2 linked regions of the Caenorhabditis elegans genome follow. The protein of the gene in region 1 interacts with the protein of each later gene in a pairwise test. Each region holds a gene or a part of one and is shown in the gene's direction. Other genes may lie near its edges.

Region 1 (3,651 bases):
GAAAGCATTACGAGGAACAATCAATAACTCAAACACCCAAAATCAAAATAATGATTCATAACTTTGACTTATTTGTAACTATTTTGTTATAGCAATTGTACTCTTTTTTAAACAGCAGTAATTTTTCAGTAATTCTTTTCAAAAAATTTGTGATAACTTAATTGAGACCTAATTTAATTGAGAGCGATCGTAATACTCAGGAACACTTAGCATGAAGATTTTAAATTGTAATTGTAAGTCGAAATAAATGTATTGTCATTAAATCGCAGAAGAATTTGAAAGGAAAACGTCGATCGGTATATACAGAAAATCAAAAATAATTAGAGCACGATGATTCGAACTTAAGCCTTGACGGTCTTGGCCTTGTTTCCTCCGATGAGGAAAGCAGAACGAGCAAATGGAGCATAGGCTGGGATGGCAGCTGGAACTGCTGGAGCAAAAGCTGGAATTGCTGGGGCAGCAAGCACTGGTCTTGGAGCAATAATTGGAGCTGGGGCGAAAGCTGGAATAGCTGGAGCTGCGAGAACTGGTCTTGGTGCAAGAAGTGGGGCCGGAGCAAAAGCTGGAATAGCTGGAGCAGCGAGAACCGGTCTTGGAGCAAGAATTGGAGCGGGTGCGAATGCTGGGGCAGCAAGGACTGGTCTTGGGGCAAAGGCTGAAACGATTGGAGCAACTGGTGGGACTGGTGGAGCCAAAAATGGAGCTGGAGCAGCCAAGACTGGAGCTGGTGGGGCAGCAAAAACTGGCGCTGGAGCAGCGAATGCTGGAGCTGCAGCAAGAACTGGTGCTGGTGGAGCCAAAAGTGGGGCTGGTGGAGCAAGAAGAGGAGCTGGGGCAGCCAAGACTGTTGGAGCAGCTGCGAGCACTGGTGCTGCGACTGGGGCAACTCCTGGAGCCAATACTGGCTTGGCAGCCACGTAGTATCTTCCCATGAATGGCCCGTTAACGGCGACTTGTGCGGAAGAAAGGGCAAGTCCAGCGAAGAGAAGGCTAGAGAATAAGAAGATAAGGTATTGCAAAGAAACCATTTGGAATGATTACTAAATTGTGAAAATAAAATAAAAACTCACGCAAAGACCGAGGAGCTCATGATGATTATTGGATTGCTGAAACCGTTCGAGGTGTGTGCTGTCTTTTCCGATTTTTGAGGCACCTTTAAATACAACAGAGGGCGGAGAGCTCAAAACCAGTCGACGTTGTTTCTTTTTCTCATTCGGTTGCGTCAAAAAACGTTTGACGGGACGGGAGCAAGAGGAGCTCGCGGGAGCAACTTTGTGTGGATCACCACCTCTATTCACAAAAAAACTTTTTTTCATGTGGTGTGCGCGGCAATGAACGGCGGGCGCCATCTCGCGTAATGGACACAAACAAATGGCGAGAAAAAGTTGATGTTTGCGAGAGTGGCGGCACCGGGGCACGGAAGATGCGGAAGCGTTCTTTTTGATGGTGGAGATGGGCAAATAGTAATTGAGAATGTGGCATACTGATTTGAGGAATTGCACTTTGAACATTTTGTGTTCGTTTTGATAGAAAAAATAAATAAATTTTAGACAAGCCTTCGATCTATGAACTTACATACATACTAGCAACGTTTTCAAGTATGTCTATCTAGAAAAAACGCCAAGTGTTTCTTATAATGATTTCTAACAATTGAGGAACCATTAACATTACGTCAAAAATACTTAAACCTATCTTGGTGTAAACATCTTCATCGAAAATACGGAAGTATGGGCATTCGATTATTACAACACCGGAGGGCAGACAAAGAAGCTGCAAGAACGCCGCCCACTCTAATGGGCAATTCAAGGTTGATTTCACTTGACCTTTATGGGTATAAAAACAATCAAATGCGTGGAAGAAGACACATCTCAGCAATGGTTAAGACTTTGGTAACAATCGCCAGCATTGGCAGCGGAGTTGCTGTTGTTGCTTGCCTCTTCACTGTTGGATACATCTTCAATGATATCAACTCTTTCCATGATGAGGTCATTGACACTATGACTGAGTTCAAAGTGAGTCCATAAGTTCATAGCTAGATGATACAAATACTTTTTCAAATCATGAACCACCAAGTCTTCTCTCAAATTCTTTTGTAGAATAAACCTGATTAAAAATGAATTTCACAACATTTTCAAAAATTTAGTTCAACGAGCAACAAGCATGGAACTCAATGATGAAGCCAACTGATGTATTCGGAAGAATCAAGCGTGGAATCAACAAGAGAGGAGCCCAATGCAACTGTGGAGCTCAATCCAATGGATGCCCAGCTGGACCACCAGGACCACCAGGACAACCAGGAGCTCAAGGAGAGGCTGGACACGCTGGAGAGGCTGGAAAGCCAGGAGCCAACGGAGTTACCATCGGACTTACCGGAGGAAATGGACCATGTATCACTTGCCCAGCTGGAGCCCCAGGACCAGCCGGAGCTCCTGGAGCACCAGGACCACAAGGACCATCTGGAGCCCCAGGACAAGACGCTGTTGGAGAAGGACCAGGACCAGCTGGACCACAAGGACCAGCCGGAGATGCCGGAGCTCCAGGACAAGCCGGAGCACCAGGACATCCAGGAGCCCCAGGACAAGGAGGACAACGCAGCCGTGGAACTCCAGGACCAGCTGGAGCTCCAGGACCACAAGGACCAGCCGGAGGACCAGGACAACCAGGACAATCCGGAGGAGCCGGAGCACCGGGACCAGCTGGAGCTCCAGGAGCACCAGGAGGACCAGGACAGCCGGGACAAGATGGACAGCCAGGAGCCCCAGGAAACGACGGAGCTCCAGGAGGAGACGCCGCTTATTGTCCATGCCCAGCTCGCTCTCAAGTTGTCAAGCACCGCAAAGTTATGGCTCACAGACGCCACGCTAAGATTGTTGCTTAAATTTGGACCATTTTGAAGTTTAACTTTCTCTCAATAAAAATGCATTTTCCAACTTGCTTCACTAAACTGTTAAAGTTGAAAATAGGTGAATCCCATCAATTTTATTTGCTGGAAAATATTTTTTTACATGCGGCAACAGACATCATCTCTCCAAAAAAATTGCCTTCAGTTTTCAAACAATACAATAATTTAAATATTTATTTACCAGGTTCACGTCAGAAGTTTAATCATAATATGCAGTGTACATGCAACGTTTTCAAAAATACATTTCATTATTTTTAGAATGGTTATTTATATGAAACGAAAACTTTTCGTATTCTTCATCACACTTGTTGCTTTTCTTGTTTGCAATGCTGGACAAAATGGAGAATGTATTGGTGGAACTGTTGAGGATATTCCTAATGATTGCGTAATTATCATTTCAAAACCATTAATTATCGCAGAAAAATCTCATGGCAAGTATTCAAAAATTTTCTTTTCTAATATAATTGTTTATATTTCAGAAAACATCCTTCGTTCAAAACTGGCCAAAGTTGAGAAAATTAAAGCCGGTCTTGAGATTTCAAATATTCGTTTTTCAATGTTTAACTATCTACAAAACACAGTATCAATTGAAAACCCAACTGGTCCGGCCATATTTTTTAATGGAAACCAAAAATTGCAGCGAGTTTTGCTACAGAAACTGGAAAGTTTGAAAGGGAAACCGGTGAGAAATAATAATTGTAACATAATTTCAAAGCGAAACGATTTTTAGAACGAACTGTTATTTTCTA
Region 2 (5,044 bases), on another chromosome or scaffold:
ATAAAAACGATTTGTTCTCTCTTTGAGAACAGGAAGATCGCGAGCTGCAGCACCACATCCACGGAAGTTCAGGGGCACCATCTCTTCGGGACTCATCCAGAGAACCTGGAGATTGTCGTGGTCCCAATAAGAAAAGAACTCTTGGTTCAAAATTATGAGGAGCTGAAAGTCACCAATCTCACACTGAACGAGGTGTTCTTGTCAAATAGTCGAACGCTTCGTTCATTGCACCACTCAATGACTGCAAAGGATGTCAACTTGTTCTTGAAGATCTGGATTCAGAACTCACAGCTGAGAATCAGTGATCTTGTTGTAGATGGTCTGAATATTGAGCATCCTGTACATGGAACTATTCTCCGCGGAATAGACTTTACTAGATACGAAGATCCTCTGGTCGTGGATGATGGAATGGTTCAACACGTCCAAATTGTGTGCAAAAGAGGGATCAAGGCAAAGGTTTCCCTCACCAGAACTACTGTTCGATTCGTCCGGCTGGCCGACGATGAGTAAGCAGCGACTTTTGATCATCTTTCACTGCAAATGCCTTCAAATACCTGTGCAATTATTTTTTTCGGTTGAGCTATATGGTTAAATGGTTGAGGTGATGAAATAAATATGTTCTTGTATTTTAAATTATGCAATAAAATGGCTCAAGAAATCGAATTACACAACCGTAAAAATGGAAGTAGAGGGGGGACATTGGGATAAAACATGACTGAATAAATGAAAATTTCGGGTTAGAATGCTTGTAGAAATGCACCGGATGGGGAATCACATAAATTATTTAAAGTTCTCCAGTGGCGCGGGCCTTGTAGTGCTGGAAGACACGATAGAGGGTGTGGCTCAGGTTGTTCCAGTAGTTGTAGGCCTGCTTCATGTAGAATTGAATGACCGAGAGTGGCTCGCCGAGTGAGATTCCAGAGGTGACGTGGACGGTGGAGGAGAGTGGGAGGAAGCCGCGACCTGAAAAATATAAAAATTCATTAGAAACGAGGGGATTTTTATATGGGTCTGGTTGACTACAAACTACAAAATTATATTTAGCAGACCAAGCGATTTCAGTTCGAAATTGGTCTGCTAGACTACAAACTACAAAATTATATTTAGCAGACCCAAGTGATTTCAATTCGAAATTGGTCTGCTAGACTACAAACTACAAAACTGTATTTAGCAGACCATGCGATTTCAGTTCGAAATTGGTCTGCTAGACTACAAACTACAAAATTATATTTAGCAGACCAAGTGATTTGATTTCGAAATTGGTCTGCTAGACTACAAACTACAAAATTATATTTAGCAGACCCAGGTGATTTTAATTCGAAATTGGTCTGCCAGACTCAAAAAAAAACGAATTTTCCTTGATTTTCGGTGTAATTTACCGTAGCACGCGACGTAGGTGTCCTTCTCGAAGCTGTACACGTGGGACTCGAACTGTCCGTGCCTGAAAGCGGCTCCCGAAGCAAAGTTCTCCGACGTCTCGTCCTGAGTTCCGTCATTGAATCGGCTGACTTTTCCTTTCAACACGGTGCACGTCGTATTTGCCCAATGGAGCCCCGGGCGTCCTGAAGTTGGGAACGGAGCGGAGAAGGCGGCGGCGAACTCGGTGAAAGCGGTCAGCATTGGGTACATCTGGAAAATTCATTAAATTTAAGATTTTTTTTCGATTTTTCCTGTTCCTCACCCTTAAAGTGAGGCCTCCCAACTGAATAGCGTGCCATTCGAAGTGACTTGGCATGATTGGCTCGTAATAAGTGCGCATTCCAGACGTCAATGTGGAAATTGACTGGGAGATTGTTGGAGCAGCTGAAAATATACAATATATTAAAATTGCGGTATTTTCGCAGAAAAATATGTTTTTCCTCACCAGCAGCCTTTCCAGCGATAGTCTTGAACTGCTTCGGCGAGATGTCATAAGACTTCCAGCGGAGGCCAAATTGAGCAGCCTGGAAGACTGCGTAGAAGAGCAGAAGATACCGAAGCTTTGAGGTGAGAAGAGCCATTTTCACGTGTTGAACTACCCTGAAAACATGGAAATTTGGAAATTTTGCGTGAAAAAAAAAGGAAATACAGTCATTTCGCGAGTTTTCAAGAGGGACAGCGAGTGCGAAGAAGAAAAATTGTGAGTTTAACATTGATTTTTTGAAATTTCAGATGTTTTTTCGCGGAAAAATCAATGGAAATGCTTGAAAAATGCAAGAAATGGCGCTGCAGCGCGCTGAAAATTAAAAAAATCAGCGAAAAAGGAATTGTGTGCAAACACCGTGACGCAGAAGCACACAGAAAACACCATATCTGACGCGCATTGCCACAGAAGGACCGAGAAGAAAAACAAAAGTCATTTTTCGCCTTTCTCATGTTATTTTCGGGGTTTCCTTCGATTTTTTCCACTTTTAGAAGTCTAAATTTAATTCTACAGGCTTTTAAAAATCAATTTGTCGGAGTTTTGGGCCAAAAAAAAGGCCGAAATCCGCTAGAAAACGTAGTATTTCTATTTGAGAAATTTTGAAGAAATTTCTCGAAAATTGCTCAGCAAATAGTTAATTCCACGTAAATCCTTTGAAACATCATTATAATGCCACGTTTTCTTCATGAAATTTCTGTTTTCGTAATTTCACGCGGATTATCCTCGTTGTCGTGGCAACCGAGTCGGAATTTTCCAGCGATTATCAGTTTTCTCTCGCTTTTCCTGCTAATTCCTTATTTTCCACTCAATTTTCTCGATTTTCAGCTCAAAAATGCCAATCGACTACTCCAAATGGAAGGATATCGAGGTTTCCGACGACGAGGACGACACTCACCCGAACATTGACACTCCGTCGCTCTTCAGATGGCGCCATCAAGCTCGTTTGGAGCGAATGGCCGAGAAGAAGATGGAACAGGAGAAAATCGATAAGGAAAAGGGCACGACGAGCAAGAAGATGGAGGAGCTCGAGAAGAAGCTTGCCGCAGCCGATGTCACTGACAAGTCGGATATTCAGAAGCAAATCGACGAGGTGAAGGCGCAAGAAGAAGCCTGGCGCAAGAAGGAGGCCGAACTCGAGGAGAAAGAGCGTCTGGAGCCATGGAACGTCGACACGATCGGTCATGAGGCGTTCAGCACGTCGAGGATCAATAAGGTTTTGAAGATTTTTCTGTGCAAATTGATTAATTCTGTAATTTCAGATCACCGAGAAGAAGCCGCAAGCTCCCAAAACCGATGAGGAGGACACTCATGCGATGAGCACTTTCTTCGAGACTCACGAGAGCCTTCTGGAGAAGATGGCCGTGCTCAAGAACGGAGCCAAGTCGACGGAGCTGTTCCTGGCCGAGCATCCGCATATGGCGTCGGAGTACACTGCAAATTGGCTCACAATTGAGGCTCTCAACGCCGCCATCGATTTTAATGAGGAGAAAATGAAGACGATGGCTGAGCAATGCATCATCATTCAATATCTTCTGGAGCTCTCGAAATCGCTGAACGCAGTCGCCACGAATACCACCGTCCAGAAGCAATTCTTCAAGAAGTTCGAAGCCGCCGAGCCGGTCTACATGAAGCACTATCAGGATGAGGTGAAGGCGTTCGAGGATCGTCTCAGAACACGTGCGCAGACGAAGAGAGACGCCGCGATGGAGGAGGCTGAAGCCGAGGAGAAAGCCGAACGAATGAAGAGTGCTCCGGGAGGAATCGATCCACAGGAAGTGTTCGAGCAGCTGCCGGAGGAGATGAGAAAGTGCTTTGAGGCACATGATATCGAGGCGTTGAAGGGTGTCGCCCAGAAAATGGATGAAGAGGTGAATATTTGGGTCTGCTAAATTGAAATTTGTAGTTTGTAGTCTAGCAGACCAAGTTTCTTCCAAATGGCATTGGTCTGCTAAATCGGAATTTGTAGTTTGTAGTCTAGCAGACCAAGGTTCTTCAAAATGGCATTGGTCTGCTAAATCGAAATGTGTAGTTTGTAGACTAGCAGACCCAAAGTTTTCAATTTTCGCAATGAAAATTGCAAAAATTGATAAATTTTCAATTTTTCAGCGGAAAAATGAATATTTTTCAAATAGAAATTAGCAAAAATTCAGGTTTTTTGCGATTTTTAGTGGAAAATTGTGCGATTTTTGTGTTTTAAGACAAAAGTGCGTATTTTAATATAAAATCCTGAAAAAATCTGAACTTTCGGGGGAAAATTGATCTATTTTCAAATTTTTGAGTGAATTAACATTGTATTCCAAAAAAAAACGAATCAAAAATCAAAATTTTAAGCTGAAAACAGGCATTTTTTAATTTTGGTCTGCTAAATCGAGTTTTGTAGTTTGTAGTCTAGCAGACCAAATTTCTTCAAAACCACCTATGGTCTGCTAAATCGAAATTAGTAGTTTGTAGGCTATTATTTTTAGCCAAATTCATCTAATTTCAACATCCAAAAATCCAAATTTTCAGGTCTTCAAGTACCATTTCGATCGATGCATCGCCTCTGGACTCTGGGTGCCCGGAAAAGCTGACGACGACGACGACGATGAGGAAGCTGCTCCAGCCGAGGAAGAGCCAACAACCAGCTCCTAAATTTCCCCATTATTCCCCGTTTGAAAGTTCCCCTGATCTACTTGTTTTTTCTGCACCGCACTTTACTTTTTCCCCAAGATTCACTGAAAATGGCCCAATTATTTCTTTATTTATTCTACACCCCCCACGACATTTACTGTTTATTTTCCCTCTCGAACACCTGTAAAAAAGTTTTTTTTTGCTTCGAGAATCGTTCCACTTCGTATTCAAAAATTCCAATTCGGAATAGCATAAAGATTATCATCATCAACTTTCTTCTTATTGTGTTTATTCGTTTTTTTTTCTCACGATTTTTTGAAAGTGATGTTTTGTAAGCAAACGTTAGTCTCCGCCTGACAACTATAAAGTTCAATAATGGATGTATTATCGGTCATTTTTTGGCTGAAAATGGTAAATTCGCGGCTTATTCTACTAGTTTTTGTCCCATTTTCCTTGGCACAATTGAGCTTGTATGGAAGTGAGTCTAGGATGGGTCTGCTAGCCTACAAACTTCAAATTTTGATTTAGCAG

Evidence for each region.
Region 2: the proteins of col-146 (region 1) and cdc-37 interact in a two-hybrid assay, tested with the Caenorhabditis elegans proteins (one large-scale study listed by BioGRID).

The regions. Positions count from the first base shown.
Region 1 is NC_003283.11:9,628,083-9,631,733, forward strand, and holds col-146 (Nematode cuticle collagen N-terminal domain-containing protein), read left to right. Parts: upstream 1-1,860; 5' UTR 1,861-1,874; coding exon 1,875-2,012; intron 2,013-2,143; coding exon 2,144-2,878; 3' UTR 2,879-2,930; downstream 2,931-3,651. Other genes in the region: T06E4.7 (G protein-coupled receptor), read left to right, coding at 1-61; idpc-3 (Intrinsically Disordered Protein, class C), read right to left, coding at 342-990, 1,071-1,090; T06E4.5 (Recep_L_domain domain-containing protein), read left to right, coding at 3,162-3,333, 3,382-3,584, 3,633-3,651.
Region 2 is NC_003280.10:577,577-582,620, reverse strand, and holds cdc-37 (Hsp90 chaperone protein kinase-targeting subunit), read left to right. Parts: upstream 1-2,027; coding exon 2,028-2,119; intron 2,120-2,728; coding exon 2,729-3,116; intron 3,117-3,162; coding exon 3,163-3,771; intron 3,772-3,906; exon of another isoform or gene 3,907-3,960; intron 3,961-4,411; coding exon 4,412-4,534; downstream 4,535-5,044. Other genes in the region: fbxb-14 (F-box associated domain-containing protein), read left to right, coding at 1-510; W08F4.3 (Sigma non-opioid intracellular receptor 1), read right to left, coding at 785-963, 1,380-1,629, 1,682-1,803, 1,865-2,000; W08F4.7 (CW domain-containing protein), read left to right, coding at 4,889-4,991.